Xenopus tropicalis: one gene and its partners. The protein of the gene in region 3 binds, or shares a complex with, the protein of the main gene of each other region. Links are inferred from orthologs where the notes say so. Each region holds a gene or a part of one and is shown on either strand. Other genes may lie near its edges.

Evidence for each region.
Region 1: lsm4 (region 3) and lsm7 share a complex: the UniProt entries of both Homo sapiens proteins name them as parts of the precatalytic spliceosome. The link is inferred for Xenopus tropicalis from reciprocal best matches to the Homo sapiens genes LSM4 and LSM7.
Region 2: lsm4 (region 3) and lsm5 share a complex: the UniProt entries of both Homo sapiens proteins name them as parts of the precatalytic spliceosome. The link is inferred for Xenopus tropicalis from reciprocal best matches to the Homo sapiens genes LSM4 and LSM5.

What each region holds. Positions count from the first base shown.
Region 1 is NC_030677.2:92,742,502-92,746,592, forward strand, and holds the start of lsm7 (U6 snRNA-associated Sm-like protein LSm7), read right to left. Parts: upstream 2,801-4,091; 5' UTR 2,775-2,800; coding exon 2,769-2,774; intron 2,565-2,768; exon of another isoform or gene 2,550-2,564; coding exon of another isoform or gene 2,478-2,549; intron 1,706-2,477; coding exon 1,615-1,705; intron 1-1,614. Other genes in the region: sppl2b (signal peptide peptidase-like 2B), read left to right, coding at 3,533-3,580. UniProt on the Homo sapiens protein: Plays a role in pre-mRNA splicing as component of the U4/U6-U5 tri-snRNP complex that is involved in spliceosome assembly, and as component of the precatalytic spliceosome (spliceosome B complex).
Region 2 is NC_030682.2:61,893,525-61,897,626, forward strand, and holds the start of lsm5 (U6 snRNA-associated Sm-like protein LSm5), read right to left. Parts: upstream 2,801-4,102; 5' UTR 2,684-2,800; coding exon 2,638-2,683; intron 711-2,637; coding exon 615-710; intron 1-614. UniProt on the Homo sapiens protein: Plays a role in pre-mRNA splicing as component of the U4/U6-U5 tri-snRNP complex that is involved in spliceosome assembly, and as component of the precatalytic spliceosome (spliceosome B complex).
Region 3 is NC_030677.2:103,369,242-103,372,741, forward strand, and holds part of lsm4 (U6 snRNA-associated Sm-like protein LSm4), read left to right. Parts: intron 1-326; coding exon 327-368; intron 369-1,423; coding exon 1,424-1,522; intron 1,523-3,500. UniProt on the Homo sapiens protein: Plays a role in pre-mRNA splicing as component of the U4/U6-U5 tri-snRNP complex that is involved in spliceosome assembly, and as component of the precatalytic spliceosome (spliceosome B complex).

The sequences.
Region 1 (4,091 bases), about 11 Mb from region 3:
ATTTATATACAAAGTTCCTGCTAGCACTGCTGGACAATAATTTTGAGAACCAGAATAAAAGGTGTTCCCCTTAAAATAAGAATCACTCCCTTTACATTTCCCTATGCATTGGCTATACATTAAGATTTTTTATTTGAATAAAAATATTTAAAATGAAAAATGCACTTGGTTTATTAAAATTACCTAGAGCTGGAGGAGGATCCACACATACATTTTAAGCCCTACACACACAACAAATTGTGGCGCACACAAAAAAAGTATGTGAACACACTGGGGCAGATTTATCAAAGTCTGAATGGGTACGATTACAAAAAATTTGTATTTTTTCTAATTTATAGAACTTTGTGTATTTTCCACAATATTTTTGTTAATTTCCGCAACTTTTTTGTGCTTTGAATAAATTTGTGAGACAAAATCGAAATTATCGCAACGACTACAAAAGTTTTGAAATTCATTCAAGCTGCAGAGTGCCATTGAGTCCTGTGGGAGGCTTCCAAAATCATGCATTGAAGGTTCAAAGTCAGAAAGTTTTTTGCGCCGGATTGTTTCGTTCGGATACGAAAATTTCGTAACTTTTGGATTGTACCATTTATTTAGATGAAGGTTTACTGAAGATGAAGCAGGGTTTTAAAAAATCCTGGAAGACTGATAAAAGATGGCGGCACTTACAGGGAATGTACTCCAGGCTGGAGGAGCACTGGCTTGGGTTTGAAAGTTAGTAATTATACTTACTAGGAGTGGGTGCCTAATATGTGAGAAACTTGCCAACCAATGGCAGTGTATGGCAGGCTACCAGGGGAAGCAATGCACAAAAGTAAAAAGAGTGAGGGTGGTTGGGGAAGGAACATCAGCCCTGCTGCCTAAGGAGGAAGCAACCCCTGCAGCACCTCTCTCCATTTTCTATTGCACAAAATAAAGGATAGTATCTTTTGCTGCAAAGAAATGCACAGATGAAAAAATGTAGGTCTTTACCTTAGAAGACCTAAAGTTGAAAAATCAGAGACAAGTCAGGAACATCCAGCTGCATTAATTAAAATGCAATCACTTTGCAAATAAACAGCCCTAACAATTTGGATTTATTAAAAATGTGCATATTTTTCATGTGATCTGATAACAATAGTGGGAATTTACAAAACTGGAGCAATTAGCAGTTAGAAAGGTTTCATTTAGACATAAAAGGTTGAATATGTTCTGAATATGTTCCAACCTAAGTTACTAACTTATCTCTGAAATTGTAGCACACAGCAACTATTCTGGAAGTAATTCAAGTACTTAAGCTACAGCATAACTGCCACGTCTTGCATACTGTAGCATACTGTATACAGACAAAATGTAGATTGCAGGTTTGATTTTCCTGTTGAATCAAGGACTACATCTGTGATTGCTGTAGTCCTAGTTACTTGCCTGCATAGAGACAATTTTGATACAATCAGCCCAATTTTGCCCACCTTAAGGTCCATATCAGTGAAAGACACACTCATTCAGCGACCTTGTCAAACAAGTGAATCTTATAACGTATGGCAAAGCTTTAGTAGCAGTACTTTGTAGTAATAATTGTTTTAAGAATGCATGGCAAAGTAGAATTCTTTAGAAATTCACATTTAGAAAGCATACCTTCTCTTCCACCCTGAAACTTTACTCGAATTGCCTTGTCTATGTATTTGGAGAGGTCTAGAATGCTTTCCTTTTTCTTTTTCTCTTTGTCCTGGGGAAAAACAATCAAATATGTTTATACATTTAGAGCTGCTAAGAGCAATACTAGGCTATATAGTAAGAGGATTTGAGAAAATATGGCTCCAAAAGTTTTAAAGCTCAGATAAGGTTAAAGAAAACTATACCCCCAGAATGAATACTTAATAAAAAACAAATATAATCTTTTGGTTATGTTAAGTGACCTATTAAAGAATCTCGCAAAACTGGAATATATCTGTAAATATTGGCCTTTTATATCTTTTCCCTTGAGCCACCATTTAGTGATGGGCTGTGTGCTCCCTCAGAGATCACATGACCAGAAATAATGCAGCTCTAACAGGGAAAGGTTTGGAAGCAAAAGACAAAACTATGTCCATTCATTGGCTGATGTGACCTAGCATGTGTGTGTGTGTGTGTCTCTGCATTTTTTGTACACTGTGAATCCTATGCAATCCTTAATTCTTAAAATGGCTATCTTCTACTTAGGAGTACCCAATAGCACAATCTGCTTAAAAAAAAAAAAAAAAAAGTATATTTTTATGAAAATGGTTTTAGATAAAGCAGAGTTTTACATTTCAGCTTGTTCATGCAATATATTTTATAGAGACCTACAATGTATGGGGGGTATTGTCTTCATTTAAGAGGGGGGGGGAAAGGAGCACCATTCAAACAATTGTTTTGATCAGTTTGTCATTAGATCTGTATCATGACTCTCCTAGGGCTCCTTGCCTCTCCTTCCCTGGAACTACATTTAATTCGGATATAATTAAGAGTTGTTTACTGACCACTTTATATACAACACTTTGGATAACCCAGCTCATAAAAAGAAGAAACACACGGCTGCGAATATACCTCATCGCATGAGTACTTTGCCGCGTGCGCGGCGTCTTAAGTGGATGTGATAGGACGCATAATTACGGTTCCTCTTAATCACCTCCCACTGTTTTACAGTCTTTAGCAATATGTTCTAATCATGGGTACCCGCTACGCAATAAAAAGAAAAAACGTTCCATAATCCACTATATATGACTGACCAACTCTACCGGACGAAAGCTCACTAAATTCTACACACTCACCGCCATCTTCCCGCGCCTCTGTTCCTAGGGGCAGGCGTACCCATTTTAATCAGCTCTGGGGGCACCTGTACACCTAATTATGATTAATTTTTTTGCTCCTCCTAACTTCTCTCTTCCATCCTTATGAAGTACTAGACTAAACTAGTTAAGCACGTTAAAAGTTTTCTTAAGAAAGTGCTTCGCTATGTATTTTTTATTTTCACTGAGGAATTTCATTCACACCCCCTACGACTTTAACTGGTTTGGAAGAGTCTACTTTTTTTTCTCTTTTTTTTTAAATAGCTTTATTGACTGCCCTCGACAATTATAATGTCGCCGTGACTAGGTGTATAACCCTAATTTAATAAATAGTTGTGAATGGTAACTTATTTTCTGTCTACAAATCGCAAAATTATATGATGGATTAAGTCATTTTGAATTACCCACACTCTGTAAAAAATATTATGCCTGTGGGGCGGGCGTTTTTTTTTTTTTTCACCCTTTCACTTTTTTCTGGAATCACTTTTCCATAAACAAATATGGCGTGTAGCGTGCGTAGTTACGTCACATCCTGTAGTCATCTACCATTTTCATTACAGCTTTCTATTGAACTGCTCTACTATGGGGCTTGGCCTTTGGGACCTGTCACTAATACATTGCGAATGGGAGGATAACCTGAAGACTTGGATGTAGTGCGCAGGCCCAGGAGATGGCGCTGAGTAACAGTTAACAAATGGTGCTTGGCGGTTTGAGTGTTGCTTTGCTAAGGCTCGTGACCTGGAAAAATGAAGCTTCTTTTGATTTTCCTGTTATGGGGTTTGTTTGTAACAGAGGTGAGTGATATTCAATTACATTTTCATAATGCAGAACATCATTTTTACGCGTTTTATTTACCTTATTTTCGCCATTGCCACCTGTATATTGAAGGTGCTGCTGTTTTTCGAAAATTCACTTTAATTTTTTTATACCTTCTGAAAGCCCCGCCCATCCATGATTTTCCACCTTGTTCCGAATTCCTGACTTTTTCTGTGTACACACGCTTTGCTGATCCCCAGAAGCTTCCTATACGCAGTATTTAAATATTTAACTGGAGTTTGCTGTCACGGGCTTCCTAGTGACAGTCATTAAATTCGTATAGATTGTTGAATAAATATTTCCTGCTACGAATTGACCTGATTGAGCCAGTATTGATATCTGAGATATAGGGTCTGTTGTAGGCCCTACTTTGTGTTCTTCTGTCTGAAGAATATGAATACTTCCAAGTGATGGTGGGCAAGAAATGTAGTACAATTAACTCTGAAAATGTGTTATGATATAGCAGACCATGATTTATGACTTGTTAAA
Region 2 (4,102 bases), on a different chromosome or scaffold from region 3:
TGCCCCCCTAGTACATTGGTGCCCAGCAGCAGTGCCCCCCTAGTACATTGGTGCCCAGCAGCAGTGCCCCCCTAGTACATTGGTGCCCAGCAGCAGTGCCCCCCTAGTACATTGGTGCCCAGCAGCAGTGCCCCCCTAGTACATTGGTGCCCAGCAGCAGTGCCCCCCTAGTACATTGGTGCCCAGCAGCAGTGCCCCCATAAGTCAGTGTGCCCCGTGGCCCCCCCTAATACATTGGTGCCCAGCAGCATTTTACTCTTCGGCGGCTTCAGCAGCATCTTCCCCTCACGCGCGCCGCCTCTGCACTTCTGCCTACACGCGACCGCACACAGGCCCTTTTATAACGTTGCGCCCCGTGCGTACTGACGTCACCCGTACACACGGGGCGCAACCAATGACAGGGCCCGGATTTTTTTTTTAAAGTAAAAATTGCGGCCCTGCCTACGGCACACCAGGCAACATCTCGCGGCACAAACAGTGGTTGAAAAACGCTGATCTAGAATGCTGAATGGAGTCTATTGCTGATGGTAAATCGGTATTTTATTTTGGTACATTCTAAATTAGTATAACTGAAGCAATAAACAAAAAACTAAGCGTAAGCAGACAAAGGATACTGACAAAATCATCAAAGCCAAGAAGTGTTCCAACAATTTCTTTATCACTCTTCATAACAATATGAATGCGAGATCCTATGCACTTGTCCACAAGCTCTGCAAGATCAGAAATAAAAAAAAAATTAAGAATACACTTTAAAATAAGGCAAAAATAAAGTAAAAATACATGTTAAAATACAAAAAATAATTTTACATTGTGTATATATTAATTAGGTTTGAAAGTAAAACTTGAACAATCAAAGGTTTCTAAATTGTGGTGGTAAATACTTATCGCCTGTCAAATATTTTTTGAACTTCAGACTAAAAGCACATTTTAGTATAAAAATGTATTTGAATGTACTTGGATCTTAAGCTGCATAACTGAAAGGAAAGAGGGCGACTAAACCTAAGTCTGAAAACCACTGATTTAAACCTTCAGGAATAAAAAAAAAAAAAAAGAAAAAAAGCATAGTTTTGTTTGGTAGTTTGCAGTAGAAAGATGTATTTAGCCATTTTTGCCTTAATAAAAATATGTACTTTCGGAAAATATACGGTTTTCGAGGGGCTCCGTATTGTTAGGACGTCTTATGGTACATAATACACATACCGGGTGCTTCTATTGCAGCAGCCAGTATCAGAGATGAACATTTCTATTTCATCTCGGACACTTGGGGGCTGATTTACTAACCCACGAATCCAAATGGGAAAAATTCCGATTGGAAAACGAACATTTTGCAACTTTTTCGTATTTTTTGCGATTTTTTCGTCGCCGTTACGACTTTTTCGTAAATTGTCGCAACTTTTTCGTAGCCGTTACGACTTGCGCAAATTGTCATGACTTTTTCGTAGCCGTTACGATTTGCTCGTATCTTGTCGCGACTTTTTCGTATTGAGCGCTCGTAAACTGCGGGCAAAACTTTCAGACTTAGCATGATTTTGGAAGCCTCCCATAGGACTCTGCAGCTCCAACCTGGCCCAAGAAAAGTCACGATACTGAAGCTTGAATGAATCCGAAACTTTCGTACTCGGCGCGAAGGCTACGAAAAAGTTGTGACAATTCGCGCAAGTCGTAACGCAACGAAAAAGTCACAACAATTTGCGAAACAGTCGTAACGGCTACGAAAAAGTCGCGACAATTTACGAAAAAAATCGCAAAATACAGACCATTACGAAAAAAACGCATTCGGACACTTTCGGACCGTTCGTGGATTAGTAAATCAGCCCCTTGGAGTCATTTAGAGTAGAAAGACACGGTTATCTATTTCGGATTTGGTTGAATGTGCACTTTTAAAAAATATAAATGGTATCCTGGGGTAAACCTAATGTTTCAGGATTTTTGGCTATGGAATCTAAAGTATGCCCTATTCTGCTGTAACACTTTTTTCAATAACTTACTGCTGGGAGTTTTCGATCTATAGAAGTCAGACATCTCCATAAAATTATACATACCTAGTATAGGCACATTCAAGAGATATTAGGCTTTCTGAATAAGTTGAAATTTTATCCATAAAATAAAAGATTTTTCTGGTATAAATCCCTATAATCATATTTTTTTTTTTTTCTTTTATTTGCCTTTAGAGCTCTAAATCTTGTTCCAGAAGTGGAAATACACAAAAACTCAGATTTAGAGCTCAGGTTCTCAAGAAAAGAATGATGTACAGTTTTCCTAGGTAAACTAAAAATCAACTAGAAAATAATTCTGTTCTTTTTTTATCTGCTTACAATTAAAAGGTTCAGTATAAAATATAAATTGTCTAACGCAGGGCTGCCATGCGGCTCCATCATTTGCCCGATAACCTAAAGCACGTCACCTAGCAGGTGCTGTTTAACCCAAGCAACAGTGCTAACTCCAGGTACACTACATCTGTACTTCACAACCCTAGTAAGCCACATACATATCAGAATTCTACAACAAATATGAGTTCAAAGAAAGCATGTCGCATGAAATAGGACAGCGCCATTGAAGATAAAAGCCAATTAGTAACTGCACACTAAAGGTCTCGAACTGGAATAGATCTAGTCACATATTTCCTAGAGTCCTTACCGAGCGGGAGAAGCTGCGACGGATTGGGAGTCACGGTAGCCGCCATCTTTGATATTCCTTACTTCGGATTTCCTCCTGTTTTCGTAATCTCCCGCTGTCACCTACCTAGAGCAATCGATTGCCGATCTCATTATGCAGTCGAGCGCAAGCGCTAAAAACTTCCTGGTTAGGGAAGATTAATCAACAGACGAGCAGAAAAAGGCCTTATATGGCGGAAGAGAGCGAACAGGGGACGTGGGCGTGGCTAGAAGAATGTTTCAAAGCAATGATTGCAAAAGTTGTTGTTGCGCCAGAATAATGAATGTTCAAAAAATCGGCTTGGCTTCATTGCGATTGCTAATTGGCCGGGTATTTTGTCAGATGTAGAATAACCAGCAGCTCTGGACTCTGTACAGCATATTAACCATCCACTTCAACCACTCACGTTTAGGTAAATTAATAGGAGCCCCGATCAATACAGAACAAATTACGGGGGCCCAGGTGCCAACTTAGACGAGTACATTCGAAGTATAGAACTTTTTCAGATGTTTTTGTATGTAGCAGGTGCTCAGCTTGAATCAGCTCTTAGGAGGCATGAAAGTACCTCTGGCCTGTGTTTTGTTTAACTAAAAGGGGAAAGGATTGCAGTCACTTCTGTACCTAAACATTAGCATTTATAGGGGATATACTTTATCCAGAAAATTATATATTTCTGTTTTAATTTTTTGTAGGGTAGTGTTCAATTACAAAACTCATAAATATTGTTTTATCTTAGAGGACAAGAATTTGTAAGCCACCCCTTGATACTGTACTTTAGAGGCATTATGCTGCTTGCCTGCCCTCCAAGGTGTTGAACAACTGCACAGTTTGCTTGGTTCCTGCACATTACATGAGCATAGTGTTGAGGGCCATAGATGATTGATATTAGTCACCTTTTTTTTAACTACTTGTATTTAAACTTTAAAAATTCAGCATGATTCATTCAAAGTCTCTGCTGCTACAAAAAAGTTTAGTTTTTGTAACTGTCATTAAAACTTCTACCTAATTTCAAGATTTCTGCATGTAGAGTGACAGTGTGTCATTTGCTTACTAAAACTCAATGTTTTGAAACCTAACATTCTGAAATTTCCAGAACCAGTTCCCAACTTCCTGCTAAGATCACTTAGAAACCTTCTGTTTACCTAAGCCTTCATTTAGTTTTTCTCAACTGCTGCCTTTTTTAAGCTTTGAGATAAAGAGCAAATAATTATGTCAAGGGCTTACCTGTGGATTGGTAATCACGTGGGTCAAAATATAATGACTGATACAAAAACGTGAGGTAGTAACTTTTGCCATCCAACACCACGTCTGTCGGAAGGGAATGCTGCATGCTGCTCCTGCAGCCACAAGGATAAAAACTGATGGTGTTGGAAAGACTTCTTTTTCTCTCAATGTAATACATTGACTGTCAGATGTAAGTGCATGAACAAAATAAAAATCCAACTTT
Region 3 (3,500 bases):
AGACAATAGATGGTTGCATTGACCATCTAAAACACAGTACTCTGGTAGCTGCCATTGTTTATTACTTTGGATATTCCAGAGTCTTAATTTTATCTGCGCTGTTACAAATGATTATGTATTTCCATTGAAGTCTAAGGAGACTGCTTCTGAAAAAGATATGATATGTGGAGAATCATTTCTGCCACTGTACGTCATCTGACAAACACCAGAAAATGCTGTGTTACTAAAATATGTAAATATGTTTCTAAAAACAAAAGCAACAAAAAAGATACAATGCACTTTTATATGTGGGCTACAATGTTTACTGAATACTCTTTGTTTTTCAGTTGCCGTTATCATTGTTAAAAACTGCTCAGAATCACCCAATGGTAAGTTAATGGGTTGTAACTGAATTTTGCCAAGTACCTTTATTATGGAACTATATTATGTACATTTTCTTTGCATGTAAGAGACATACTTTAATTTAAAACACTTTGCATTCTTCTTTTCATAGTACATTTCTAGTTATTGCAGGAAAGAGCACAGATCCTTAACTAAACAGTCACCACGTGAAGGAACAAAAATTGTTATATCTGCCACACCATATGAAACATCGTTACTAAGTACAACAGAGATGTTTTTTCACTAAGCGGCTGTTTTATTTTATATGGCAGTGGGTCCCAAATGCAGGTACACTGCAGTGTAAAACGTAAATGACTTTGACAGGAATCGGTGAAAAAAATATGTGCTTTTATCTTGCTAAAGAATGTACCAATTAGATTTGGGATTATTGGGATTAAATCCCAACCAACCATAGATACAGCCAACACGAAACAAGAAAATCTAACAATCACAGTCATCTGATGGAGTCAGCCAATTTGAAGTTTGCAAATGTTGGTGTCTTTTAATTTAATAATTGCTTGGGACATGCACATGCTTTCAGTTGAGGAGACACCTCTCATCCAGACAGTCTTATTTGATTTTCACTTAACTGAGCGGATTTGACTAAATAGATTTGAGTTTTACAATTTTCGTGAGGTGTGTGTGTGTGTGTATATATATATATATATATATATATATATATATATATATATATATATATATATATATATATATAAAATAAAGCAGGGATACATATGCCTCAGTTTATCTTCTTTTAGGGCTTACAGAAAGAGTATTACACCTTAAATACTATAAAACTATAAAATAAATCTGTTGAATCACCTATCAGTTTGAGTATTATTCAGATGTGTATGTGTGTATACATGCACATACACAAACACACTTTACACCGTTATAAGAAATATGATAGGCTAATATGTATCATGCTTTTGGTGTACCACGATTGTTGTTAAAGTGAAACCAATTACATCCTGGTTCAATTTTATACTTAATGTGATTGTGTGATTAATTACTCATTTGACACTGCTTTTTCGATTTTCAGTTGGTGGAATTAAAGAATGGTGAAACATACAACGGTCATTTAGTGAGCTGTGACAACTGGATGAACATCAATCTAAGAGAAGTTATTTGTACTTCACGGGTATGTTTTATTTAACTTGGGAGAACTTTCTTTGATAGCAAGGTGTCCACTATAATAATAATAAATAAAAACTACAACTTACACTGGGTTAATCAGCACCACTGATTGAGACTACTTTTCTATTTTTTTTCAACAGTGGTATATGTTGCACTTCCAATCACCATCCTCTTAGTACAGCTTAGATTGCTTGTTTGGCTTACAAGATTCAGTACTACTTACAGGGTTTGGTTTCCTAAATTTGCCTGTCATTTAGTTGCAGTACCTACTTTTATATCAATATATGCAAGTAAAATAGCAAAGTGCCACTATTACTTATTCCCCTTAGTGCAGTGCACCATTTGTGTAATTAGCAATTGTCTTTTCCTGTTCTTCAAAATTGCTCTCTCCTGATCACTCCTGTGTCTGACTTCCATGTCCCAAGTGCAGTTCTTGGCTTAGTTAGATGCAGTGCAATCCTCTGAAAAATGTGCAAGAAAGTGTCAGGGGTGAAGCATGTGGTGGCCAATGGGCATTCCTCTGCCAGCTGAAATATTAATTGATTGCAATGTTTTCAGCCATCTTTTATATGTTTTGTAAATAAAATGCTACCAGTCCCTACTTTATACATGCCTTTACTATCCCCAGAAGCCCAAATAAAAGAAACTTCAGGTATTTAAAAAAAAAAAAAAAATGTTGTGCTTTCTTCAAAATAAGTCACATTTTTAATAGTGCAAACCTTTTCCTGAAAACCCCAAGTTCGACAAGCATTTAATATAATAGATCCTATGCCTGCATAACTAATCTGTAGTAATTATTAATTTTTATTTAAAGGGAGCATTAATATTCTATAATACATAAAATCACCTAATACTTGCACTTGTAAACCACATGCTGTTTTGAAATCAGGAATCTTATACATTGCTAATCCCACATGAGAGTGGAGAAGCCGCATGCTGAATGTGTTTTTTTTGAAGAAAGCATTACAGCATCTTGTTTTGTATCATGTTATGCTTGGAGAAAGGAATATAGCACTTAACACACAGGTAAATCTGTGTATGTATATTTCCATGGTTCTGGACGCACACAGAATTGTTTTGCAACACCCAGGTGTTAACAATATTGTACTAGGTTCTGTTATTTGTTCTTTTCCATAGCCTGTGGCATTGATCTTCATTTTGTCTTGAATTGGTGATTCAGTGAAGGAACTGTGAAACAGATGGGCAAAGTAAAAATTCTGAGGGTTTACTTTCCCTTTCCCAAAAACTGAAACACTGAAAGAATTTAGTAGAAATGCATGTGTTGTTTTGAAGGATATTTTGTTACGGAAAAGTTGGAATGATATCTGCAAGCTTGTGATAGTCCCATTCCTTTAACTGAACTGATCTGTAAATTTGAAATGTAAAAGTGCAGCACAGACAGCTGGCGAAATACTCTCAGAGAAGATGAAACAAATACTTTTGGCACATGTTAAAACACAATCACAAGCAAATTGCTACAATCTGTTCTTGGATACATTATACTAACCAAATGTAAATTTGTCTCTGAATAAGGTCAGCACAGTGCCTTGCAAAAGTATTGAGACCCTTGTCCAATTTTTATTAACTGGATAACAAAGCCAGCATTGACATTTTGTTTTGGAAATGTAAGTCTTTGTGAGATTTCTCTCTTGCAGCTTAAGCCTTTTTCAGGTGGGTTCCAGCTCTGCATATTTTTGGGACATATTTTGACCCATTGTTTTAACTAGTGTACCCGATGTTTAGTTATATTGAGTGATCTGTTAAGTGGGCCTGTTGTCGCATAGTCACTTTTTAATTTTTGAGTCTCGGTGTTACTTGGAATTGTTTCGCCTAAACATTATACCTGTGGCACACGGTGAATATTCTCCTATTAGCTGAACTAATTTACCTAAATGACTCGCTGCACAGGCATGTTTTGGTACTTCCCTGCTGGCTGAAAAACATGTTTTAGCAGCCTAAAATAGGTACTCTTGCAGTTCAAG